Linked DNA regions of Coturnix japonica. The protein of the gene in region 1 binds, or shares a complex with, the protein of each later gene. Links are inferred from orthologs where the notes say so. Each region holds a gene or a part of one and is shown in the gene's direction. Other genes may lie near its edges.

What was found.
Region 2: the proteins of HDAC2 (region 1) and SIN3B are in contact, whole or in part, in a cryo-EM structure (PDB 8BPB), measured with the Homo sapiens proteins. The link is inferred for Coturnix japonica from reciprocal best matches to the Homo sapiens genes HDAC2 and SIN3B. Residues at the interface, in NP_001518.3 of Homo sapiens: Lys9, Asp19, Gly21, Asn22, Tyr23, Tyr24, Gln27, Gly28, Pro30, Lys32, His34, Arg37, Tyr46, Gly47, Arg50, Lys51, Lys59, Thr66, Lys67, Tyr68, His69, Ser70, Asp71, Asp100, Asp105, Gly106, Glu109, His142, Lys144, Lys145; in NP_056075.1 of Homo sapiens: Ile397, Gly398, Ser399, Ser400, Tyr401, Pro411, Lys412, Cys413, Ser414, Gly415, Arg416, Thr417, Ile419, Cys420, Glu422, Val455, Leu456, Asn457, Trp460, Val461, Ser462, Phe463, Pro464, Ser465, Trp466, Ser467, Glu468, Asp469, Phe472, Lys476.
Region 3: the proteins of HDAC2 (region 1) and MORF4L1 are in contact, whole or in part, in a cryo-EM structure (PDB 8C60), measured with the Homo sapiens proteins. The link is inferred for Coturnix japonica from reciprocal best matches to the Homo sapiens genes HDAC2 and MORF4L1. Residues at the interface, in NP_001518.3 of Homo sapiens: Gln93, Arg94, Asn96, Ser146, Glu147; in NP_996670.1 of Homo sapiens: Pro355, Glu356, Arg359, Lys360.
Region 4: HDAC2 (region 1) and CHD4 share a complex: the UniProt entries of both Homo sapiens proteins name them as parts of the nucleosome remodeling and deacetylase (NuRD) repressor complex. The link is inferred for Coturnix japonica from reciprocal best matches to the Homo sapiens genes HDAC2 and CHD4.
Region 5: the proteins of HDAC2 (region 1) and KBTBD4 are in contact, whole or in part, in a cryo-EM structure (PDB 9GGM), measured with the Homo sapiens proteins. The link is inferred for Coturnix japonica from reciprocal best matches to the Homo sapiens genes HDAC2 and KBTBD4. Residues at the interface, in NP_001518.3 of Homo sapiens: Gln27, Gly28, His29, Pro30, Asp100, His142, Gly150, Phe151, His179, Lys201, Gly203, Glu204, Tyr205, Phe206, Gly208, Asp231, Gly269, Asp270, Arg271, Leu272, Gly273, Cys274, Tyr304, Arg307, Asn350, Met351, Thr352, Gln354; in NP_060565.4 of Homo sapiens: Cys290, His291, Ser309, Arg312, Arg313, Trp326, Pro329, Pro331, Arg332, Asp333, Arg334, Thr355, Gln357, Ser361, Ala363, Val373, Trp374, Thr375, Glu376.
Region 6: the proteins of HDAC2 (region 1) and PHF12 are in contact, whole or in part, in a cryo-EM structure (PDB 8BPB), measured with the Homo sapiens proteins. The link is inferred for Coturnix japonica from reciprocal best matches to the Homo sapiens genes HDAC2 and PHF12. Residues at the interface, in NP_001518.3 of Homo sapiens: Gln27, Tyr202, Gly203, Leu212, Arg213, Pro228, Met229, Arg230, Thr356, Glu358, Tyr359, Lys362, Ile363, Arg366; in NP_001028733.1 of Homo sapiens: Met21, Gln25, Met298, Asp299, Cys300, Leu301, Glu302, Pro303, Pro304, Leu305, Thr306, Ala307.
Region 7: HDAC2 (region 1) and CDK2AP2 share a complex: the UniProt entries of both Homo sapiens proteins name them as parts of the nucleosome remodeling and deacetylase (NuRD) repressor complex. The link is inferred for Coturnix japonica from reciprocal best matches to the Homo sapiens genes HDAC2 and CDK2AP2.

Annotation. Positions count from the first base shown.
Region 1 is NC_029518.1:58,978,486-58,981,985, forward strand, and holds part of HDAC2 (histone deacetylase 2), read left to right. Parts: intron 1-2,474; coding exon 2,475-2,616; intron 2,617-3,500. UniProt on the Homo sapiens protein: Histone deacetylase that catalyzes the deacetylation of lysine residues on the N-terminal part of the core histones (H2A, H2B, H3 and H4).
Region 2 is NC_029543.1:3,324,330-3,328,429, reverse strand, and holds the start of SIN3B (paired amphipathic helix protein Sin3b), read left to right. Parts: upstream 1-1,300; 5' UTR 1,301-1,383; intron 1,384-1,806; 5' UTR 1,807-1,890; coding exon 1,891-1,913; intron 1,914-2,415; coding exon 2,416-2,569; intron 2,570-3,242; coding exon 3,243-3,506; intron 3,507-3,839; coding exon 3,840-3,983; intron 3,984-4,100.
Region 3 is NC_029525.1:17,834,149-17,837,648, reverse strand, and holds part of MORF4L1 (mortality factor 4-like protein 1), read left to right. Parts: intron 1-1,180; coding exon 1,181-1,206; intron 1,207-1,628; coding exon 1,629-1,717; intron 1,718-2,019; coding exon 2,020-2,121; intron 2,122-3,096; coding exon 3,097-3,185; intron 3,186-3,500. UniProt on the Homo sapiens protein: Component of the NuA4 histone acetyltransferase (HAT) complex which is involved in transcriptional activation of select genes principally by acetylation of nucleosomal histones H4 and H2A.
Region 4 is NC_029516.1:69,352,268-69,356,293, reverse strand, and holds the start of CHD4 (chromodomain-helicase-DNA-binding protein 4), read left to right. Parts: upstream 1-1,226; 5' UTR 1,227-1,318; intron 1,319-2,153; 5' UTR 2,154-2,217; coding exon 2,218-2,314; intron 2,315-4,026. UniProt on the Homo sapiens protein: ATP-dependent chromatin-remodeling factor that binds and distorts nucleosomal DNA. Acts as a component of the histone deacetylase NuRD complex which participates in the remodeling of chromatin.
Region 5 is NC_029520.1:20,340,139-20,342,321, forward strand, and holds the end of KBTBD4 (kelch repeat and BTB domain-containing protein 4), read left to right. Parts: intron 1-56; coding exon 57-917; 3' UTR 918-1,683; downstream 1,684-2,183. Other genes in the region: PTPMT1 (phosphatidylglycerophosphatase and protein-tyrosine phosphatase 1), read right to left, coding at 1,943-2,074. UniProt on the Homo sapiens protein: Substrate-specific adapter of a BCR (BTB-CUL3-RBX1) E3 ubiquitin ligase complex which targets CoREST corepressor complex components RCOR1, KDM1A/LSD1 and HDAC2 for proteasomal degradation.
Region 6 is NC_029534.1:4,690,379-4,694,520, reverse strand, and holds the start of PHF12 (PHD finger protein 12), read left to right. Parts: upstream 1-1,342; 5' UTR 1,343-1,692; coding exon 1,693-1,758; intron 1,759-2,033; coding exon 2,034-2,215; intron 2,216-4,142. Other genes in the region: SEZ6 (seizure protein 6 homolog), read left to right, coding at 19-51.
Region 7 is NC_029520.1:566,350-569,330, forward strand, and holds CDK2AP2 (cyclin-dependent kinase 2-associated protein 2), read left to right. Parts: upstream 1-1,422; 5' UTR 1,423-1,550; coding exon 1,551-1,620; intron 1,621-1,811; exon of another isoform or gene 1,812-1,849; coding exon 1,850-1,926; intron 1,927-2,022; coding exon 2,023-2,155; intron 2,156-2,241; coding exon 2,242-2,309; 3' UTR 2,310-2,481; downstream 2,482-2,981. Other genes in the region: CABP2 (calcium-binding protein 2), read left to right, coding at 290-424, 513-622, 716-863, 1,024-1,049; PITPNM1 (membrane-associated phosphatidylinositol transfer protein 1), read left to right, coding at 2,857-2,934. UniProt on the Homo sapiens protein: Acts as a component of the histone deacetylase NuRD complex which participates in the remodeling of chromatin.

The DNA of each region.
Region 1 (3,500 bases):
AGATAGCTTTGAAACACGTTCTTAAAGTACTTTTTAAGCACAAGGGTAGTGAACTTCTAGATATCACTATTACAGGAGCTTGAATGAAGCTGTGGGTGACATTAGATTGAAAATTAGACATGTTCTTGGGCAGGAGATCTGTAAATGGAAGCTAAAGAGATCTCATTGCACTTTACAACTTCCTGAAGGGAAGCTGTGATGAGGAGGGGCTTGGCCTCTTCTGCCAGCCAACAAACAGGACCCGAGGAAATGGCCACAAGTTGTATCAGATGAGGTTTAGACTGAACATAAGAAGGAACTTTTTTTCTCAGAGAGTGGTCAGGCACTGGAATGGCCTGCCCAGGGAGGTGGTGGAATCACCATCCCTGGCAATGTTCAAGAGACGTCTGGATAGGGAGCTAGGAGATATATATGGTTTAGTAGTTTTCTGTAGGTATGGTAAAGGGAGGACAGTTGGACTAGATGATCTTGCAGGTCCTTTCCAACCTTGTGATTCTATGATTCTATGAAAGAACCAAGAGGTGATTCACCCTTGAAAAATATCGTATGTTGTAATTATAGATGTTGGGTAACAGGTCTTGGAAAATGGATAGGCTTGCTTTCTCCTGTAAAAGTTGTCTTCTGTTGCTACTCATGGAGACAGAATAGTGGTCGAGAGCTTTGGCCTGACTAGTGGTCACTGAAGCCTCAGGTGTTTTGTTCTCAGTCATAGACCTATTTGATCTCTCAGTTATGCCCTTTTATTTTCCATCTTTCAGGACATTGCTAATAAACAGGAATTCTAAGGAAAATCATACACTGAAATTTCTTGTGTTGTTACATAAGTTAATGTGGCTGTTAAGAAAACAATGAAATAACAGCTGTGCTGCTTTGGTTGTAGAGTAATAAATGAAGAGGGGAGTAATGCAGAATTGATCACAAAACTACCTTCAAGCAACAGTGCGTCAATAAAACCTCAAGTCGTTAATATTAGTTACAGTATTTAATGGGACTTTATCTCTTCTAATCGCATAAGGCTTATTTTTTACAAAAAACATTGGCATTTGACTGCTTGGCGGTGGAGCAGCTGAATATGCTGGTGGCAGGCAGTAGAGGGAAATAGCTGTAACTAGGAAGTAATTTTAAAAATGGAAGAAGTTGCTGGAGGCACAGGTATTTCATATTAAAGCATTCATTTTAATATGCATATATTGAGGATATAAGGAGAAGCTGAGGGAGTTGAGGTTCTGCATTCTAGAGAAGAGTAGCCTCAGGGGGAGGCCTTGTGGTGGCCTTCCAGTACCTAAAAGCGGGCTGGAGGGAAATTCTTCATCAGGGAGTATAGCAATAGGACAAGGAGTTATTAGGAAGAAGTTATTTACTGTCTGGGTGATGAGGTGCTGGAAGAGGTTGCCCAGAGAGAGGCTGTGAATGCCCCATCCCTATAAGTGTTCAAGGCAGAGTTGGATGTGGCTTTAGACAGCCTGATTTATTGGAATATGTCCCTTCCAATAGAAGTTGTAACAAGGTGATTTCTTCCAGCCAAAACTATTGTGATTGTCTCTACCATCTAATAAAAGCAATATGGTTTTTCTGTGGTCTGGTTTTGAATACTGGTTTTAAATCTTGTATGTGAAGGAAGTAAACTTCAAACCAGATATGGGTTATATCACTGCAAGAAGCTGTTCTATTTGGTATCTTGTTAAGAGAGAAAGATCTTAGCACACAGGAAACTGTGGCTGCTCTGTAGTTTATAGCACTGAAAAATTTGGTGAAAGTGTCTTCTGATGGTGATAGACTTTATTCTTTACTGAACAGCACAGGATTTAAGGGTCGTTTACTGTAGTTTTTAGTGCTCTTGCCATGAAGCAGCTTTCTTTATTCCTCTCAAATAAAATGATCAGAAACTTGCACTATTCAAAGAACTGTTAAGCCATACTGTGGTTTTATGTTAATGGTAAGTACAGTTGGAAACAAGAACATGCTTATATCTTTTAGTCTTTGCAGAGGTGAAAAAGGAGATTTGATGGAAAATAAGTCTGCAAAAAATGATATTTTAATATTTATGGAATATGGATTATACCTGCTCCTGGCACTGGTTCTTCAAAAATTCTTGAAAGGCATACACTTCAAGTTGTTTCATTACAGAATGTTTTGGCAATCATTGAGAAACTAGACAAAAGTGTACCATGAAAGGGGTAAATTCAAAGGATCTGGACAACAGAAATTGGTATGAACAGGATTAAAAGGTAAAACTACTCCTGACTAGGACAACTCAGTTAAATATTGAATGCGTTGCGTGATAAAAATCTCTTTAAGATGAGCTTATTTTTACCATCATCCAAACTGTACTGATAATTCTGAGATTTATGGTAACTTCAAAATTATAAACTTTATCATAATCTGTGATTTATTTCTATTTTTCTTTGGTAGGTATTGATATCTTATGGACATAACAGAAGATTGTGATTTCACATGTGTAATTTTCTTTCTAGGTATCACCAAAGAGTGTTGTATATTGATATTGATATCCATCACGGAGATGGTGTGGAGGAAGCTTTCTATACCACAGACCGTGTCATGACTGTGTCCTTCCATAAGTATGGTGAATATTTTCCAGGCACGGGGGATCTTAGGGTAAGATTGAGCATGACATTTCATTGTGATAAATTCCTTCTTATGCACTTCCGTGTGGATTGTACTGCTTTCACAATTATACTCCATAATAACATGTATTTTCTGTAAAGTTACCATGTTTGTCTGGATTAATAGTTGTGTTGAGGAACCTTAGGAAGAAATACTGGAAGCAATTATGCTTCCCTCTAGATAAGTTAAGCCAACACTTTGACTTCTGGATATATTGTCTGAGCAGTGTGCTGCACTTGTAATTACAGTCAGTACCTTTCAGTTCTGCAGATATAGAGAAAAGTAGGTCTTTGTACATCACAGGGTTTCAAATCTTAATTCAGATCTTAAAATAAATGTATACAATAGTTTTAGTAGTCACAGTATTTTTCATGCAACTTTACTGTGTTAGATTTGCTTAGTAATACAGTTGTTTTTGTTTTTTTTCTTGTTATTTCTTACGTTAATAAGGTACATTTTGAATTCTAATGCTTCCCACTGCTGTAAAACATCAGCATGCTCCACAGGTGATTTACTAACAGTACATTTAACTTGAAGAAGGGAACAACAGACTGTGAAGCATTATTATCTAAGTTGCTGGTGGATCTCAGTCACAGCTGAGAATGGAAAATAATTTGCCTGGCTCTTAAGATTTTTATTTTTTAAAGTAAGTTAAGCCATTCCTTCTATTAGACTCTGTCTCATCAGGACAGGAAGTTGTTCCACTTTGCAAATTGAAATATCATTTCACATATGAAGATTAATATATTCTTCACTTGATACTCTTGCTTTCAGCTTCTCTGTGACAGCACTCCAAGGATAAATCAATTCCTTGTTAACAGCTTTGTTACATTAGTTTGTACATGCACTTATTATATTGGTAAAGTAATAAAAAC
Region 2 (4,100 bases), on another chromosome or scaffold:
GCTGGGAAGGGGTGGATCCTGGCTCCACCCCTCCATCACTCAGCAGCACTGCTTGCACCTGAGCTCCCTGGGTTGGCCCTGCCTTCCCACCAGGTGTTCCAACACTGTTTCAGGCCATGACATAGCATTTCCACTACAAATATCAAAGCCAAAAGCTGAAATCCCAGCACTACAGCTCTCAGCAAAGGGTTCAAATAGCAGTCAAGTTAATTGCAAATTCAACCCAAGGTCTCTATGAGACATCCCTATGGTGTCCTATGGAGAAACAGACAGCATAGCATACTGGTTTCCCTCTCTCTCATGTAGCAGTAGTGGTCCAATTCAACAGAGTTCAGTTGTCTGCTGGGAAAGGAAGCAGGGGACATGCATTAGGGGAAGCCCAAAGTTAGGGATGTACATTAAGCCCTTTGCTCTGTGCCTGGCCCCACAGGTGCCTTGCTGGTGGTGCAGCGCATGCACAGCACTGCTTGTAGGATCATTCCCCAATGCAGATGGGTTTGTGGCCACCACGAGGCTGGGTCGCATCATTTGTGAGAGGTTCTGTCGTCCCACAAGAGCCTCTTCTCAGCACACCACCACCACAGCTCTGTGCAACGACATCAGAGGGAGGGACAGGAGGAAGTGCAGCACACAGCAGTGTGACCAAGGAAACCCTTCTGGGAGCCTGATCTGGACCGACACGCTGTCCCACATCTGCTCGGTGCTGTAAAAGCCAAGATGAATAACCTGAAACAGCACAAACAGCCGCTCCCCTCCCATCTCATCTCATCCCATCCCATCTTATCTCATCCTGCTTCAGAACGATGTGGTTGAGTAGCCCTGCAGGTCCCCTCGCCTTCACAGCACGAGCCACCGCTGCCACGTACCACAGAACGAGCGTGTAAGATCAGCGAATAAGCAACAATAAATAAAGACGGTGTTTGATCCACAAATGCCACAACGGGCGCTGGAGCTCAGTTTGTGCCCTTTAATCGCGGCCCAATAGGAGCGGCCACCGCGAGGGCCCCGGGCTCCCGTACAACGTCCGTCCGTCCGTCCGTCCGCCACCCGCCGCTGCCCGTAGCGGTCCCGCATTGCTCACCCCGCGCAGCCCCGTCCCTCCCTCGTCCCGCTCAGGTTTCCCCGCCGCTCCCGCCGGTGCCGCTGGAAGGGCCGGAAGCGTCGCGCGGTGCGGGCGGTTCCGCTCCGGGCCGGGCCGGGCCGTGGCGCCGTGCGCGCTGACGCAGACGCTCCGCACGCGCTGACGGGGGGCGCGCGGCGGCGGCGGCTCCGACTCCCAACATGGCGGCGGGGGGCGGCGGCGGCGGCCGGGGGGGCAGCGCCCCGCGATGGGGCGGCGGCGGCGGCGGCCGGGCCGCGGCGCAGGAGAAGCTGCCGGTGCATGTGAGTGCGGAGCGCGGCCCCCCGGGATTCGTCCCCATCCTCGCGGAGGGCGGCGGGGAGCGGCCCTGCCCGCCCCGCCGTGACCCGCCCCGCCCCGGTCCGGCGCCGAACCCGCCCCCGGGGCCGCGGGGCGCCCCTCTGCTCCCACAGCCCGGGGCGCCCCCGCCTTCCCCCCCCCCACACTCGGCCCCGTTCCCCACCCCCGTTACCGCGGCCTTCCCCCACCATCCTCCCGTCCCCTGATCCCCCCCTCGGTCCCACAGTTTCGGTGCCCTCAGCCCCGCTCCGGTATCGCGGCGTTCCCCCGGGGTCTGTTCCGTCTCACCGGCGCTCTCAGCGCGGTGGGGGTGTCAGCCGAGGCCTCTGCAGCGCCCCGGGCCTGTGCGCCCCCTCCCCGGGGCCTCAGTAGCATCCCGCCCACAGGTGGAGGATGCGCTCTCCTACCTGGACCAGGTGAAGATCCGCTTCGGCAGTGACCCCGCCACCTACAACGGCTTCCTGGAGATCATGAAGGAGTTCAAAAGCCAGAGGTAAAGCCCGGCCCGGGCTGCCCCGGGGCTGTCTCAACCTTGGGGGCTTCCTCAGCCTTCACCCCATGGTTCCCCTGTCCTTGCTGGCCCAGTTGTTCCACGCTGGAGGTGATGGAGGAGGTGTCCATCCCAGTGCCGTCTGCTTCCTTGTTTTCCAGAGCAGAAATCCATGGGAAAAGAACAGTGTGTTTTTACATCCTGCTCTGAAACGCAGATTTGGAAAAACAGATGAAGAATTTTAAGAGTATTGCTGAGAGCTCTCAGTCTTTGTGTGGTGCCCATATTGGGTAACCTGCATGTTCTTCTCTATGGAGAATGTTCCCAGTGGGTGGCTGCAGTGGATGCTGCTCCTTCCCTCTGCCTGGGCTCACTCCTAGGTCTGAAGATTCCAGACTTGTTTTTGATGAGAATGGCATCTGGCTTCTCACCTACCTCTGTAGTTTTTTGGCCTTAAGTTGTATTTCTGACATAACACAAGTAACAAAATTCTTCTCAATTTTAGCATCGACACACCCGGAGTCATCCGACGCGTCTCACAGCTGTTCCACGAACACCCCGACCTCATTGTAGGATTCAATGCTTTTCTCCCTCTGGGATACAGAATAGAAATTCCAAAGAATGGGAAGTTAAGTATACAGTCACCGCTGACAAGTCAGGTAGGTTATAAAGCTCACAGTACTCCAAATAAATCCTATTAATATATTGCTTCGCACATCTCTTGCGCTGTTTAGGCTATGTACGTTTGCATGTATTGCACATTGCAAAAGTTCTGACCTAGTTTTTAAGATGTGGTAAGGGCTACAATGTAAAACTGAAATACATCTTGTGTGTGATGGTTGGGTACACATTGGCCTCTCCTTTTTTCTTGTTACTGTGCAGCTGTGGAGGCCGAAATAGAGTTCTTACTGAATTCTGCTGATAAAGTTGTGGTTTAATGCTGATTAGTAGCAGTATGTATCTTTCAGATCTTTCTGTTGCTCAGGAGTTTAATGTTTCTTAAAACTGACATAGAACAGTGGTAACAGGAACTGCAGCACACATTACCTGGTACAGCCTCACAAGTGTGGATAATGCAGGGACAGTCAAAAGCAGCAGTGAGTCAGACTGTTTACCAAGTCAGATATGGCTTATGGGTTTGTTTGTTTTTAACTCGTGGTGTTAATAACACAGGGAAGAAAATGTATTAGCAAATTAAATCTTTTTTCCCCCCCACATTTATTTCTTCATGTGGTAATCTGTTTTAGCTAAACATTTAAAATATCAATGCTAGGATGTAGTTGCACCTGTGTTTCAACACGAGTCACTGTCTTGTATGTCTTATGCCACTAGGTGCCCTCAGAGCCTGTTCCCAGCGCCCTCCCTGGCAGCGGGCTGTTGTTGCATTACTCACAGGAGAATTCGCACAACCACAGTGACTGTACTGAGGAGTTTAGGCACCAGCTTCCGTACAAAGAAGATAAATCCCAAATCCCTTTGGAGTCCGATTCTGTAGAGTTCAATAATGCCATTAGCTACGTGAATAAGATCAAAACGCGCTTCCTTGACCACCCAGAAATTTACAGATCCTTTTTAGAAATTCTTCATACTTATCAGGTAAAAAGCCTTCAATGTAAGATAGATTATGGGTTTGTGGTGTGGCTGCTTGAACAGCTATCAAATGAGACATCAGGCTTTGTGCAACAACTGCCTCATAGATATTCATATGAAATGACAGAAGTGTGAAAACTGTCGAACCTCCTGGGCTCTGAGATGCAGAGGGGTTGTACGTGGATCTGTCTTCAATAACCTTCAGCTGATGTAGTGATAACCTGTGGGATAGGAGCCTTGGACTGTCTAATAGTTATATGAAGTTTATGTTGTGTTTTTATTTTGGCTGCTGTGAGTCGTGTGTTTGTATCTGTTTAACATCTGTGTGTATCTTTTCAGAAAGAACAGCTTAACACTAAAGGTCGACCCTTTCGGGGCATGTCAGAGGAAGAAGTATTTACTGAAGTAGCAAATCTGTTCAGAGGCCAGGAGGATCTCCTCTCTGAGTTTGGACAGTTTCTTCCAGAGGCTAAAAGGTCTTTGGTATGTGTATGCTTAAAGCAAGGCAGAATATTTAATGCTGCCTGTTCATATGTAGAATGCATTATGGAAAGACTCACAACCTGTAGATGAAATTCACTTCTCTTCACTGCTTGGAAT
Region 3 (3,500 bases), on another chromosome or scaffold:
GGTCATTCTTAGAGTATTTTATGTGGCCTGCCTACACCTCTTTGCTAAGACTCTGCTAGGCTGACGCTCTAAAACTGTTTTCTATCCTGACAGCAATTTTCTGAACTCCATTTTTGCTTGTTCACTGTAGGTTTGGAAGGAAAGACACACAAGTGTCACTTCACGTGGTGATGAGCTTCCAAAGAAATAATAATGTGCTGCTACAAAGCTTTATCTCATCATCTGGGATCTGGCACGCAGAATTTCTTTTACTTTCTGAGGGGTTTAATTGGACTCCTGTTAATAATAAACAAATGGGAACAAGGCTGGTAATGCTCTTAGTTCCAATTTTCTTAGTAAATGAATAAAATCAGTGAATATACCAAGTTCAAATAATGAAAACCTGCTAGGGCAATTTAATTTTTGTTTCTAATATCTCTGGACTTATCTGAATATTTGCATATAGCAGGCATTGCATGGCAGGTGTCTGTAAAATGTTTGCACGTAAGTTTCTCAGTATGACCCTCAGTTTGGAATACAAATGAGGACTGGGGGAAGTTTGAAGTATGTACAGCACATTTTGGGAGCAGCATCTGGAAGAAGATAAATATTAGGGACGCTGCTATTCAGTGTTGTTCCAGATGTTACGAGTGAGAGGCATTGTGATCTCAATTGTGATCTCCCCTGAACTTTGATGCCATGATAGGCAGTCCATGCAATTTGATGCACACAATGAATTCTGATGGTGCTGCTGAAGCGGTGAAATCATTCTTCCAGTACTCTGCAGGACAGTCAGTTGGCTGAGCTGTCTGATGTTCCCTTGTCCTTTGTTCTGTCTTTGAGAGATCTCTGAAATGCTGAAATAGCACCTCTACAAGCATTTGGGAAATACGAAGCATTGGTGAATGTTCCTGGGTAATGATGGCTAGGAGTGCTTTAAGATGCTTGTTTTTTGGAACTACTCATGGCCTGTCTTCTGTAGATTTGAGTTGAATTAATCCCCAAAAAGAGAACACCACCCTTTGTTCCACAGGAATCTTGAAGCATCAGTATTATGGTGGTAAATAATCTCCTTTTGTTGTTTTCTAAATTCTTTGTAGGCCCCTGAGTGTTTGTGGATCTGAACTTACTGTACTTCTGGCTTTCAATTCGTTCAGTACTTTCATTTTTATGTTTGCAATAATTTGTGTTCTTCTTGCAGGAAAACAAAAAAGAACAAGCAGAAAAGTAAGTACATCTTTATTGTGTGTGTAAGTGGATATACTTTGTTAGGGAAGGATTCTTAGCTGGAATAAGACCTTAAATCTGCCCCCACTGAGTTTAGTTCCTGTCAACTTATGGTGCTTCTCCTGGACTTCAGGTGTCTCTTCTGTATTATTTGCTAGTTAATAAAACAGGACTGTATAATTTGCTGCTTTGTACATGGACTCTTCCAGTCTGTCATGATTTAGACCCCTTGGAAATAGAATGGTATTCCCATTGATCTGCTGAAATAATTCTCACTATTAAGTCAAACCTCAGTTTTCATACTGGGATGGGACATGTCTGCATAGCTGAGTTGTTGGTTCCAAAAGTTCCTTTTTTTTTATTGCTATTTCTTATGGCCTTACCAGACTTCTTACACAGCACACTGTTTCTCTTCTGTACAGCTCCTGGAATTGGAGAAGGGAGCAGCAGCAGTGAGACTCCTCAGCCTCCTAGGAAGAAAAGGGCACGAGTAGATCCAACAGTGGAAAGTGTATGTGTGTATGATTCTCCTACAGGATTTTTGATGGGGAACAGAAGAGCTGCTTTGCTCAGAAACACAGACAGCAGTGCTTTATCCTGCAGTATGGCGGTGTGAATTGTTACAGCTTCTTGAAATGCTAGGCCTGCCAGGTGGCCTTAAAACCTGAGCTATTTCCCTGCTCCCCCAAGAGATGACTTAGCAGTTCTTTACTCCTGTAGTGTATTTCCTTTGTGGAAAGGATGGGATGAGTGCCTTATCTCAATTGGTTATCTGAAAGTAATTAGTGTGAATCCACTTTCTTTTTTCCCCAGGAAGAAACATTTATGAACAGAGTTGAAGTAAAGGTGAAAATCCCAGAAGAGTTGAAACCGTGGCTGGTAGATGACTGGGACTTGATCACCAGGCAAAAACAGGTAATTTTAGAATTCATATCTCACTTGAGTGCAGTGCAGCAAAATCCCTCATAGAGTTTGACAGAAGCCTTACTTGACAGTTCTGGTTGCAATTGGATTTTACCTGAAGGTCATCTGTGAGTTGGACTGTGCAGCAGAATTGTGTGCAAGTTTGTAGACTGTAATCAGTCTAATTGGGCATAAGCTCAATGTCAAGTAATTACAAGTTTTGTGATGTTCCTCTAAGCGTGTTTGGCCTATTGGAATGCCTTGAAAAGTTTGCTTAGGTGACAGAATTAGTCTGTATGAGCATTACAGGTGATGTTCTGTCCTGTCTTGTTTATGCATCACTCATTCAGAAAGCAACTGAAGCATCTACAGCTCTGACTAAATATGGTCTTAGAATAGTGATTTTTAGCTGTGCTGCCAAGCTGGATCTGTATAAAGACTCCTGATAGAGCAGTTTTGCCTAAAATAAACTGTCTTCCATTGTAAGAAATGTAATATTTTTTCAGGAGCTTGTTAGTAAGTGAAATGACTTTGCATTCTTCTTGCCAGTTGTACTAAGTGTTGCTGAAAACTGTTCATTATTATTGGTCCCAGCAGGTGCCCAGCAGGTTTGTTTGCTACCAGTCCTGGGTGCTGAACTGGATGCAGGAAGCAAAGCAAGAAAAATAGTAGTCCAGGCTGCTGCTGCTTGTACAGGCGTGGTCTGTGGCCTGGTGTAGGCAGGTGTGCTGACATCTGTCTGCTTTGCTGCTTACCTTTGATTCTTGGGTTGCTTTAATAGTTCATCTTCAGGTTGATTTTAAGTTGCAGAAATGCAAAATGAGAACATGAATGTGGCTGCTGTTAGGTGTCTTGATGTGTACCACTGAACCAGCTGGAGTTTTAGCAATGCTTTACACACTGACTTGTTAATTTTATTCCAGAATATCTGTATGTCTATCAGTTTAAGTTTGTCAGTTTGTATTTTCGGTTTTGTGTCTTCCACAGCTCTTCTATCTTCCTGCCAAGAAGAACGTTGACTCTATTTTAGAGGATTACGCAAACTACAAGAAATCTCGAGGAAATACTGATAACAAGTAAGTAGCAGTCAGTTCAGATCTCAGTTCAGATCTCAGTGTTGTCTCGTTGTTGTTGGATGTCTCGTTCATGAAGAAACTTGCAGAGTTGTTAATCATACCTCAGTGCTGTGCTCAGCCTGGTATTTGAGACCTAGGTGGTCCAGGCCTTCAAGGACACCATTCAAGAACACAGTCCTACATCCAGAACATTTGCTCTCTCCCTGCGTTCTGCCCCTTCCCTGGCACTTTTTCCTAAAGGAAGCTGTTGAAGCCACCTCGGTGGTTCTCTACCCATTGTCACCCAGTGAACAGGAGTCTACTGTTGCTTTGAAT
Region 4 (4,026 bases), on another chromosome or scaffold:
GAGAGAACCAACGCAATGCAAAGGGACAGAGGACAGGGCGGCACCTGTGTAAGGCAAGAGGTCAGAGGGCTGTGTAGGCAGGGTTGTATTAGCAGGGCTCCATAAGCACACGAAGGAACACAATGCAGTTGGGCTCCACACCGCCCAGCCCATCTGTGCTAGCGGCACAGGGTGTGCATGGAGGAACGGCTGTGTGCATGGGCAGCGCGGGATGCTGCGGCGGTGCTCCAGGGGAGGAGCCAGCAGACACTGACAGCCATTGTTCATGGGCTGAGGTGGGCAGGGCTGGGTGCCCGGCGAGCTAACGGAGGTGCCATGGGGCGAGCGGTGCCATACAGTGACCATTAACGGCACGGCGACGTGTGTGCAATTAGGGCGTACGGGCGAGGCGATGGTGCCAGGTGTAGGGCAGCAGCAGGGCGCAGAGCAGGGATGCCCCGCATTCCTTTAGGACGGGGACAGCTTTAGGGCGCTACCACGTTGTGCACCTCGCGTTACATCCCCGACGTACGGTCCAGCAGCGGCAGAGGTCACCGGGAGACCCACACTCAGTGCAGCCGGTGGCTGCTTGACCCGGGGGACCGTACCCGGTGTGAGCCGGGCGTGCGGGCTGGGACACCTGGGTGAGCTCTGAGCTCTGAGGCCATGGCGGTGCCCCCCGCGGCCATGGCGGTGCCCCCCGAGGGCCCGTCCCGCTGCGGGCGGGGCGGTGTCGGAGCCCCGCTGCGGGTATTATGGGATGGCAGGCTGGCCGGTGGCTCCCGGCGACTATTATGGGATGCCTGCCCGCGCAGGGGGAGGGGAGAACTATTATGGGATGCGTGCCCGGGGTGTGACTATTATGGGATGTGGAGGGGATCGGCTGCTTAAACCCCCAGGAGGTGTCCGTGGAGGGGGGGGTCCGGCGTGGGTATTATGGGATGCCGGAGCGAGGGGTTAGAGGTGGGGAGTATTATGGGATGCTCCCGATGGGGGGGGGGAGGGAGAGAAGGACCCGAGGGGGGATAGAGGGCGAGTATTATGGGATGCTGGGCCGGGCGGCGAGTGGGAAGTTCTGAGGGGAGAGTGAATATTATGGGATGTCTCGGCTGGGGGGGGTGTTGCCGGGGATACGGGGGCGGGGTCTGTTGCCAGGTTCACGGGGTATATTATGGGATGGAGGCGGGAGTGGGGTGGAGCCTGCTTTTTTTTTTTTTCTTTTTTTTTTTTTTTTTTTTTTTTTTTTCCCCTCTCCCCCCTTTAAGAGGCGGTGCCGGGGCCGGAGCCATTTTCCCTTCAGCAGCGGCGGTAGCGGAGCGGAGCTGCCGTCTGGAGCCGGGTGAGGATCTGGGAGGGAACGAGGGCGGGCGCGGCCTCTCCGCCGTGCCTCGCGTTGTGCCCGCCGCCCCGCGGGCTCTCCCCGGTGCCTGTTCCCCCGGCCGCTTTTCGGTCGCGGCTCGACCCGGGACCGCGGCGGCCGCGGGACGCTGCCCGCCCCGCCTCCCGGCGCGGCCCCGACGAGCGGCCGCCCCGCCGTGCCCGGCCTTACCGTGCGGCCCCGGTGTGGAGCCGGCCCCGCGGAGAGCCGGACCCCCGCCGCCCGCCGGCCGGACTTTCCCGGCCCCGCCCCGCGCCCCCGCCGAGCCGTCCCCCGCCCTGCGGCCCCGCTGCGCTCCGGGCGGGGGAGCGGCCGTGGGGCCTTTTGTGTCGGTCCCGGGGGCAGCGCGGCGGGCGGCCCGCCAAGTTGGGTCGGGAGGGCTCCGCCGCCTTGCGGGACCGCCGGCCGCCGCCCTGACGGAACGCCGGGCGGCTCAAGGAGCCCGTGGGAAGGCCGGCTCCGCTCCCCGCCTTCTCCCAGGCGAAGGTAGAAATAACCTAGGGCGCTCATTCCGGTCTGGCACCGGCTGCGGGAGGCAGGAGGATGTTCCCTATAGGACAGCTGTTTTGGCTCCCTGTGAGGAATGAGTTGCTGACTCAGTTTAACGTCTGCTGTCTTAAAGCCTGCTTCATCACAACTCTGATGTGATACCTGCTGCCAGAGTACATGTTATCTGGCGGCTCCCGGTGTAATGAAATCATTAAGCTTTTTCTCCTGAATCCTTTTGGTTGCACTATTGCTTGGGAAACCGCGTTTTGCATCTGCTATAACTTTCTCTTAATTCTTTTCAATGAAGTACTGGCTTCACCGGCAGGAAGGCAGCACTTCTGTGAGCCTGGGCCTCCCCTGGTTCAGAGGATATGGCATCGGGCATCGGATCTCCGTCGCCATGCTCGGGGGGCAGTGATGACGATGAGATGGAGATCCTGTTGAACAACGCTATCCCCCAGCATCAAGGTATTGAGGGCCTGCAGGGCAAGCGTGCGAGGTGGGGTAATGCTTTCCTTGGGCTGGATATGTGGAATAAATGCTCTGTGAAGGAATGTCCCTTCAGCTAGGAGTTAATGTATGTTTTTGATCTTTACTATTGGAATCCCAGTTCCAAGTGTGAGGCTCGTGGCTTTGTGTCAGGTGGAGCAGACTTTGTTCCGAGATACCATAGGTTGTCAGTGGGGGCTCATGCTCTGGGAAGGAGTGAGCAGTCAGTGTTATGTCTTAATTTTGACCAAAATGTCTGAGTTTCATATTCCTGGATTGGGGGAGGTGGCTGTGTATGTGAAAGGGGAGGATGTCTGGCTGTTTCATCTGGGATCTCAGGCTTGCTGCTGTCCAGAGCAAACTGCCCTGGGCTCTTGCATGACCCACTTTTTCTTTGCCACACCCAATTATTGAGGCTTCTGGTGGCTCGTTTTCTGTACTGCCTACTCACCTTTGCTTTTCTCATAGTCTTTGTACCTTACCTTGTTGCCTTGTCCCTTTTGCTTGCATCCTCATCTGCATGAGACTGGAGTTAGAGCCCTGGGTACTCTGCTGTTTTGAATGTTATTGATGCGTGCACTAAGGAAGCCATAAGCATCGGGCTTCTCTGTTTCCTTGCAAAAAGAGGTTGTATGTATTCTGATGTGTTGGCCTGTTGAGTTTTCCCACCAAGACATGCCTGTTGTAGTGTTGTAATATCAAATGAGAAAACGTTACAAGTGGAGAGGCAAAATGTTGTGGAAGGCTTGGCTTTTTTTTAGGGTATTGACTTGAGCTGCATTTGGTACCTCTTAGGTAGAGGGGAGATGGTCATTAAGCCTTGTGAGGGAAGCCTTGTTGAGGAAAACAAACTGTTAAAATCACTGCAGACCTGAAAGCTTTAGGGAAAAGCATTGGAAGGGGTGGGATACTTAAGCTCTGAATTAGCTGGAGAAGGTGTGGAATCCCCATATGAGCTGGTGTTGCAGGACTATGTGAGCAAAGACTTGCTAATTAGTTGGCACGGTGGCAGGACTGCAAGACCCCAAATTCCGAGGGCTTTACTTCTGCTCTGTCTGCCTGCTGCAGCTACCTGACCTGAGGCTGCCTCCATCCTGCCCAGCTCCTGTGGTCAGGAGGCCATTTTCCCTTGGAGGGAGAAGGAGTGACTCTGGCTGTGTGCAATGGGCGGGGCGGCAGGGGAGAGCGAATGGCTGGGCTGCTCTCTGAGCCTGCCACAAAGGAAAGGGTTGCCCGGCTCTCCCTGGGGTTGGGAGAGGTAGGGGCACAGATGGAAGGGATGGTGATGGGGAGTTGGCTGCTTGTCCCTGCGCTGGGCGCTTGCTTGCTAGCTGCTGACAAAGAGGGAAGGGGTGGAGAGAAGGCTATATCAAGTCTGGATTAGAATTGAGTTGCTAAGTAGCGGCTTACCTATGGGGAGGACAAGTAGTGGCTTGCTCGACTGTGTTATGAATGTATTTTAATGTCTGTAAGCTGTAGGGTACTCTGTTCTGGTGAAAAGAAGAACACTTTTTTTATTCTGGAGGACTGAAACGTTATCTTCAGGTCTCAAACATACTTGCTAAATGTACTTGCTGCTTTAATTCCTTTAGTTATGGTAATCTACTCTGTGCCCTTCCCTCTTCTTATTCAGTTAGAGCAAACTTCTGGTCCCTAGGAACTGCTCAGTTGGGAGAAGGAATGTTGTGGAA
Region 5 (2,183 bases), on another chromosome or scaffold:
ATGTTCGTGTAAAAAGGTCTAGTTCTGCTAAGACTGATAAATTCCTTGTTTCTTAGGTGATCGGAGAAAATGTTCACATCTACCTGATTGGAAAGGAGTCATCACGAACACATTCACTCGCTGTCTCTCTGCATTGTGCTGATGATGACTCCATCAGTGTGAGTGGCCAGAACAGCCTGTGTCACCAGATTACAGCTGCCTGCAAACATGGTAGTGACCTATACGTTGTCGGTGGCTCCATTCCACGACGCATGTGGAAATGCAACAATGCAACTATAGACTGGGAATGGTGTGCCCCTCTGCCCCGTGACCGGCTTCAGCACACTCTTGTCTCCGTGCCAAGCAAGGATGCAATATACTCCCTTGGGGGCAAAACTCTGCAAGACACTCTCTCTAATGCTGTCATATATTACAGAGTGCGAGACAATGTCTGGACAGAGACCAGCCAACTGGAGGTGGCTGTCTCTGGGGCTGCAGGTGTAAATCTTAACGGTGTCATTTACCTGCTGGGCGGGGAAGAAAATGACTTGGACTTCTTCACCAAGCCTTCTAGGCTTATACAGTGCTATGATACCAACACGGAGAAATGCCACGTGAAACCATACGTACTGCCTTTTGCAGGGCGCATGCATGCTGCTGTCCACAAGGATGTGGTGTTCATTGTAGCTGAGGGGGACTCGCTGCTTTGCTATAATCCCTTACTGGATAGCTTCACTCGGCTGTGCCTGCCAGATGCCTGGAGCTCAGTACCGTCCCTGTGGAAGATTGCCAGCTGCAATGGCAGCATCTACGTTTTTCGAGACCGCTATAAAAAGGGCGATGCAAATACTTTTAAACTTAACCCAGCCACCTCTGTTGTAACAGTCACAAGTGGCATCAAAGTGCTGCTCACTAACCTGCAGTTTGTCCTGGCCTAATGGGGAAGAACAGGCCCAGTAGTAAGACAGGCAGCAATGGTGTTTTGCTGCACAGATCAGACGTACCCACCACCCTCAGCACCAGTCCCAATTACTACAAGCTCACAGCATCCAGTAAAGAGCCCATCTGCACAGAGGAAGTACAGGCCTGTTCTTTTAGATAGCACTATTAAAGCTGAACTGATGCATCTTAGATTTCAGATGGACTAAATGCTATTACTGTGATCCCTTGACGATAAGCTGCTTGTGTTTGAGGCCCAAACCACAGCAAGTAGCTTTTTTAGCTTGGAACCCGTCCACAAATCCTATAGCATATGGAGGACATCATCCTTGGCACAGACGGTAAGTTTTAACTGCCTGGGAGAATACGTGTTGCTGCGGCTGTCAGTCGCAGAGTTAGATTTGTGCTGTCTGTCCTCCAGGGATGTCCCCACTTAAACGTTCCTGTGTCCCTGTTGCAGGAGAGACTGGCAGAAAGTTACAGCAGACAGATTCCAGAGCTGACCCCAAGTAGGTTGCGTTATTCAGCACTTCTCCTAGAGGAGTGGTAACAGACTGGGAGTTTGCTTGTTGCTCTGTCATCACCAAGCATAAAGGAGATTGTTCTTATGAGCATTGGCTTCCTTTACTGTACAGGAAACCCCCACCTGTAATCATAACATACTGTTGGTAAAAGATGGAATTAAGACCACTTCCTCCTACCCCTCTCTATTGGCACTGTAACCCCTTGGGTAAGAATCTGAATAAAGTCTCTGCTGAGACAAAGTTTTCTTTTCTTGGCTGCAAGTATTACAGTACAGTACAGTATTACAGAGCCTTCCATGGATCGTGGTTCAGCCCATCGCTTGTGTGTGAGTGAGAATGATAGTGCTCCAAGAAATAAGTGGCCATAAGGAAAAAAAGTTGTAATGAAACAGCCCAAACTCTCCTTTTACCATAACTTATGTAAAAATATCTTTATTGAACATTGAAAAGTACAACACTTAAAGGAGCTGAGACTGAGATTCTGGTAGTTCTCACCAACACTATGCAGCTGTCCCAGCAGTAACATCCTTGTGAAAACTCTCCAGGACCTGGACTTGTTTACGCCGAATGAGGATGTGGGGACGGATCTTGGCAATAGCCTCTATTGCTTCCTGAGGGCTCCAGTGATGCAGCTGAAAAGGCAGAAACCCTGGAAGTGAAAATCCATGCACCATCCGTGCACCAGTTAACAGAGCCCCCTCTGGATGCTACAGGCAATGTTAGCACCGTTAAGGAACTCAC
Region 6 (4,142 bases), on another chromosome or scaffold:
GTGTCCAACCCCTCGCAGTCTGTTTTCTTTGCAGGAAACGAGGGAATATGAGGTGTCCATCTAGGCGAGGGTGCAGCAGACCCCTCCCAGGATGCCCACGCCCACCGGCCCTCGCCATGGTGCCGGGGACATCTCTCGCAAGGACATTCAAGCGGGAGCCACCCCACACACACCCCAACCCGCCTGGACCCCCGTGGGGTCTCCCCCAGCCCCACTGCCCCCCGATCCCTGCTCTGGTTGGGCACGGGACGCTGAGCCAGCAGGACTCCCTGGGCCACATCCTGACCCCCCTCCCAGGAGCAGCAGTCCCCTCCCCGGCCCCAGCGATGGAGGAGTGACCCCTAGATGGGGCAGGCGCAGTGAGGAGCCCCCGGGGCTGCAGCCTGAAGGTGCTGGGGGGAAAAGGGGCCAGGTCGCGGGATGGGGGGCAATGGGGCGCCCTGGGGGGGTTAAGGAAACCTCGGGGTGCCCTCACCCTCCGCCCACCCCCAGCACCCCGATGTCTCCCAGAGCCATTCCCGTTACCCCAAGCATGCTGCGTCCCTCCGCTGCCCCCGCAGCACCTGCTCGCTTCCTCCTCCCCGGGGGGGGTGCCCCCCATCCCTGCACGTCCCGGCATCCCACGAGGGCCGGATCCGGACCCCCAGCCCCACGGTGACGGGGTGGGCGGGGGGGGGCACTGAGCATGGCTTTGTCGTCCTCCCCCCCCCCGGACCAGGTCACGGCTGGGGCTGGGGGTTCTGTCCCCGGCCGATGTAACATAGGGTCCCATTCCCCAGCCGCGCGTAACCCTGTTTTGGAGAGCAGCCCCTCCCCCTGCGCCCATCTTTTGGTTGTTTCATTAATAATAAAACAAAAATGGTGTTTTAGAAGAAAACGTGGCATGTTGTTGATGAGGGGACATCGGGGTACGCGGGGATTTGGGGCAGAGGGGACCCCCTGCATCCACCGACGTGCACCCCCCCCTCCCCTCTTTCCGGGTGCACTGTAGCTTTAAGAGGCGACGGCGCGCGGAGCTGGAGGGAGCGCGCCGGCGCGCCAAACGCCCCGCTGTGCGTCATGACGTCATCACGCCGCTCTCTCTCTGTCTCACCCCACCCCGGAACGTGACGGTCTCCACGCGCCCGATGCGCATGCGCGAGGGAGGCGCGGGGCGAGCCGGGCGCGGGAGGCGGAGCCAAAAACTCGCGCATGCGCGGTGCCCCGGCGCGCGCGCCGCCTGAGCCGAAAGCGGGGGATGGGCGGCTGCGCGTGCGCAGTGGGAGGCGGGCGGCGGGGCGCGGTCTGCGCGTGCGCGGGCGGCGCGGCGGCGGCGGCGACGGAGGGACCTGAGAGAGAGAGAGAGAGAGAGAGAGAGAGGAGAGCAGGGCGGCGGGGCGGGCGGAGCGGGCACAGCGCTGTGAGGCGGCAGAGCGGGGCCGGCCCCGGCCCTCCTGTGTGCGGCATGGCAGCGGGAGCGGGGCACCCCGCAGCCTCCCCCGGGCCCGGCGGCAGGAGGTGGAGGAGTCCCGGCCGAGCAGCGCAGCGGCCCGTGGGTTAGGCCTCGCCGCAGCCCGCTCCGTTTGAAGGCCGCCCAGTGGGGCTCCCGCTCCCGCCGCCGCCTGTCCCCGTCCCTCCGTCCGCTCCCTCGCTGTGGGGTGGTGGTGGGGGGGGGGTCTCTCGGGGCCGCCCCCCCCCCCCCAGGCTGGATGAATGTGGGAGAAGATGGAGACCAAGACGATCGTGTACGACCTGGACACCTCCGGGGGGCTGATGGAGGTGAGGGGGCGGCGGGGGCGGTGGGGCTGCAAAATGGCGAGGGGACCCCCCCAGCCCCCCCCTCTTTTTCACCATCCCCCCCCCCGGCCCCGAGCCCCGTGGCCATAGAAGGAAGTGAGGCCGCTCGCCCAATCCCCGGTGGGGGCCCTCCCGGGCACGGACGGGGCGGGCTCGGCCTTATCCCGGCCCCACCGAGCCGTGCGCTATGGGGGGCGGTGGGGGGTCAGAGTGCGGGCGGCCCTTAGAGCCCTGTGTGTGTGTGTGCGTGTCCGCAGCAAATCCAGGCCCTGCTGGCTCCCCCTAAGAGCGAAGATGGGGAGAAGAGGAGCAGGAGGCCTGAGAAGGAGCCCAGGAGAAGTGGCAGGGCCACTAACCACGACAGCTGCGATAGCTGCAAGGAAGGAGGGGATCTGCTGTGCTGCGATCACTGCCCCGCTGCTTTCCACCTCCAGTGCTGGTAAGGCTCCGTGCTCCCGCCCTCCGGGTCTGTGTCCCTGCATTGGGGCCCCCGTTAATTGCCTGCCTGGGAGCGGGGGAAGCAGACAGAGCTGTGAGCCCCGCTGTGCTCCGTGCCCACCGCTTCCCCCCTTTCAAAGCCACCGATCCGCACCTAAAACCTCATCCGGACGCCTTGGTGGCGTGGGCACGCTGACCCCAGGCCCTCCTTTCTTTCTGTGCCCAGAGGCCTAAAGGAGAAGCCAGGCCTCAGTCTGCCCGCTGCCTTCCTCCCCGCCTGCGCCCGACTTCCCCTCCTCTCTCCTCCAAACACATCCCCGTCCTCCCCAGGAGGGATTCACCTCCCCCCAGTCTCATCCTTGAGGGGATTCTCAGTGCTATCCCTGCTCTGGGCCCGGCCATCCCGGTGCTTCCGTGCTGCAGCGGCTGCTGGGAATAATGGAGGTTGCTGTCTCTGTGTCTCCCTGCCTCACTGTTTACAATATGGCGACCTTCCTTTAAATTATATTTTTATTCTCAGCGCCATTTTGGCTGCATATGTGACTTCCAAAGCCTTGCAGCTCTTCCTGAGTATCTCAGTGGTGAAAATACCTTCCCTGCAGTAATTCAGGGCTCCGGACTTTATAGATTGGCTCGGCTTATTTCTTTCCCTCCTTTTTCCTTCCCTCCTGATTCCATAGACATACTTATGTTATCCGTGTGCTGTGAATTTCGGGTTAGCCGGGCTTTCTTGCTTGGAGTTGTGCAGCTTGGTTGATAAAAGCAGATCTTTTTGCATGCAAATCTGGAGCTGGAGGTTCGTGGGGAGGAGGAGGCGGCCGTGACTCTGTTCGGTGGAGGCTGCAGCAGGGAGGGCTGTGGGGCCTCACCTCGGCCCTTCCCATACACACAGCACAAAGCCAAGCCTCAACTTTGCCCAGCAGAGCCGTGCACCAGGAGATGCAATGGGGGCTGCAGTGCTTGTTCTGCTCGCTCAACAGTTGACACAGGCTGAGGGTTAAATTAGCACAGCCAGAGTGGATAATGGAGTGGAGGAGGGAGCGGGGCGAGTCAAACAGCTGGAGCTCAGGCGTACCAAGTATTCTTCCTTAGGGGAGATTTTTTAACCACATTCCTTTCTCTCTTTCATGCTTTGGAGCTTTCTGTGTGCTACCCCATTACATCTGTCTCTATATAGATATATTTTTCCCCCTATTTCCCCCCCCCACACACACTCCCCTTTGCACGGTGGTTATGCCTCGTTTCTCTGCTAACTTCAAGTCTCTGAACACTTATTAAACTGATTGCTGATACCGGGAGAGCTGAGTGTGTGCGGTCGCAGTTGTGCAGGGAGTGTCCCGTTAGCAGCACACAGCCAGACCAGCCCAACAATGCTGTAGCGAGCAGCCATGACATCATCCCTCCTGCCCTGAGGAAGTGCTGCTGGTGGTTGGGCACATCCTCTGCACTTACTAAAATGACACCGACTTTATTTTCCCTCCAACCTTCTCTGGGCTTAAATTTAAGTGTTTTTTCCCCTTATGTTAAATGTAGTTGCTTTAAACTCGATTGTTTGCTTACAGATGCATCCCAAGCCTTCTCTTGCAGAGGCTTCACGCTTGGGTTTTCAGATGGAAGGGCTGTGACTAACGCTGCAAAGTTTAATTGACTCCGAATCCTGGCTCATCCTAACTGTAAATGGGTCCGTTCTGTGCACGGTGAAATCTGGCTATGATTCATGACTTAATTTGGCAAGATTCTTGTAGCCAGTGGGAAATGCTCATGTAAATCAGCCATGCAGAGAGGTTTGGCTGGACTCAAGTTGGTTAAGTGATAATTACAGAAATTCTTTGGTTAACTAGTCACCCTTCAGGACAGAAGCAGAAGGTGCAGCTCTGGTTATTCCTTCTCCCTTTTGTTGTTCCATTCCTTGGGCTATCACTGAGCGC
Region 7 (2,981 bases), on another chromosome or scaffold:
CTCATGTTCTTAATGTGCTTTGTCCCCATCTTGACACCTGTTCTCTTCAGTCCCCATATCAGCACCTGTTCCACTGGCTCCCTATCCCAGTTCCCATTGTGCCACCTTTCCCATTCAGTCCCCATCTTCACACCCATTCTCTTCAGCTCCCCATGCTGGTCCCCATCTCAGCATCTATCCCTCACAGTCCCTGTCTGAGTGCTGCTCCCTTCGTCCTCACCTGCCCCCACCTGTAGGGTGCCCCCATGGCTGTCTATAGGTGTCACCATTCTCCCTGTGCTGCCCCTAGAGTTGAAACAAGCCTTCAAGGAGTTTGACAAGGACCGCGATGGCTACATCAGCTACAAGGACCTGGGTGAATGCATGCGCACCATGGGCTACATGCCCACCGAGATGGAGCTCATTGAGCTGTCCCAGCAGATCAGTAGGTGCCAGGACAAGGGGGAAGTAACCCCATATTGCCACAGTGGTACCACCCCCGCTGATTTGTAATCCCCCTTTGGTCCTTCCAGCAGGCGGCAAAGTGGATTTTGATGACTTTGTGGAGCTGATGGGCCCCAAGATGCTGGCGGAGACAGCGGATATGATTGGGATCAAGGAGCTGCGCGATGCCTTCCGTGAGGTGAGGGCTGGGGGCAGCAGGGCCGGGATTGGGGGAGGGGAGGGGGTGCAGTGCTGGGAGCACAGTGGTGATGCTGGGTCTCCTATGGGGCAGTTCGACACCAATGGGGACGGGCAGATCAGCATGGCGGAGCTGCGGGAGGCCATGAGGAAGCTGCTGGGCCAGCAGCTCAACTACCGCGAGGTGGACGAGATCCTCAAGGACGTGGATCTCAATGGGGACGGCCTGGTGGACTTTGAAGGTAAATGGGGGCAGGGTGAAGGAGGGGGGGGGGGCCCTATTGATCCCAGCTTTAACTGGGGGACAATGGAGCCATGGATGGGGGGGCCTCCCTATTGCCAGCTGTATTTGGGGCTTATTGCCGGCTTTATTTGGGGTTAATGCTGTGGTTCTTTGTGCAGAGTTTGTGCGGATGATGTCGCGCTGAAGGGCCGGGACTCGCCGCCGTGCCTTACCGGGAGGAGGAGGAGGAGGAGGAGGAGGCGGCCTTCCCGGGCCTGCGCTGCCCCTCATGGTGTGTGTGGGGGGGGAGCTCCGGTGTTGGAGCCCCGTGTCGGTGTGTTGGCAGCGCTGCCGGTTCGCAATGAAGCTGTGTGCCGCCGGGTGCCGTGTGCCCGTCCGTTGAGTGCCGGGGGAGGCCTCTGGCCCTCGCTGTGGGGGTGGGGGTGATGGGGGGGTGCAGGACGCCGCTGGTCTCCATGGTGATGGGAGCCCGGCGCGCCATGTTTGCGTATCGGCGGCGTGCGCCTCGTGACGTCATCACCGCGCTCCCCCGACAGCGCAGGCCGGCTCCCTTCGTGCCGTCGACCAATCGGCGCCGCCGGGTCGCTCCGTCTGACCAATCAGCGGGAGGTTGTGGGGGGGGGTCGCCCCGCTCGCTTCCGTCTCCTGCACACGGCGGGCGCCGCTCGGCCCGGAGCGCTGCGGGATGTCCTACAAACCCATCGCGCCCGCACCCAGCGCCAGCCCCGCCCCGGGGCCCGCAGCCACGGCCGCCGGTGAGAGGAGCCCCGGGGATAGAGCGGGGGTGGGGGGAGAAGAGGGCGTAAGGAGGGGCACGAGGCCTGAGGGGCGGCGGGGCCTAAGGGAGAGGGACGGAGAGTGCGGAGGGGAGTCGGGGCTGAGGGAGGGAGCGGACGGAGCTGGGCCCGAGCGGGGCCGGGCTGAGGGGTGACGGGCCCGGCCCCAGTGCGAAGGAAGGGCCGGACCCGGGGTCGCTCCCCGCAGCTCCCAGCGTCCCTTCGCCGTCCGCCTTCCGCCCGCTCTTCAACGACTTCGGGCCGCCGTCCATGGGCTACGTGCAGGTGAGCCCGCGGGGCAGGGGCACGCGGCGGGAGGGCGGCGTGGGGCGACGCTGAGCCCCCCCCCCTCCGTCCTCCTCGCCTTCCATCCCCTGTCAGACCATGAAGCCGCCCGGCGCTCCGGGCTCGCAGAGCACCTACAGCGACCTGCTGTCTGTCATCGAGGAGATGGGCAGGGAGATCCGGCCCACCTACGCCGGCAGCAAGAGCGCCATGGAGCGGCTCAAGCGGGGTAACGAGCCCGGGGGGCGACCCTCTGTGACCCTCCCCCCCCCTTAAGCCCGGAGCTCAGTGCTCACTCATATCCCCCCCATTCAGGGATCATCCACGCTCGGGCGCTGGTTCGGGAGTGCTTGGCCGAGACAGAGCGCAACGCCCGCACGTGACAGCAGCCCCCCGACCCCCCCCCCCCCCCCGAGCCCCGCCGGTGGCTCCCCCCGAACGGGGCCACCCCCGGGGCTCCCCCCGCCCCAACCTTCCGGCTTTTATAAATAAAGGACGTGCTGCATCCCCCCCCTTATAAAGGAAATCCTCCTTCCAAGCCCCCAATTCCCCATATATACCGCTCCGTTTTAATTTCCCGGTCCGCCGCCCCCCCGCTTCTGACGTCCCCTCTGACGTCACGCCCCCCCCCACGCTGTTCCACCTCCTGACGTCAGCGGGCGCCCCCCACGCCGTGACGTCACACAGCGCGGGGCCGGCTCAGAGCGGCGCAGGTTCGGAAGGGGCCGAGCGCAGCCGAAGGGAACCGAAAGGAGCCGAAGGGTGACGGAAACAGCCGAAGGGAGCCGAGAGCGCGGCCGAGCGGGCGGGGGGCGCGTTGCTATGGCAGTGGGGAGGGCCCGGCCGAAGCGGGCCGGGCCGGGGCCGGGTTAACGGCGGAGGGCCGCGGAGCCCCCCCCACCCCTCGCCCCTTCCCCTAAACACGGCGCCATGCTGATCAAGGAGTACCACATCCTGCTGCCCATGAGCCTGGAGGAGTACCAGGTAGCGCAGCTCTACATGATCCAGGTGCGGATGGGGCCTGGGCTGCGGCCCGGGGGGGGGGGTCGTGTGGG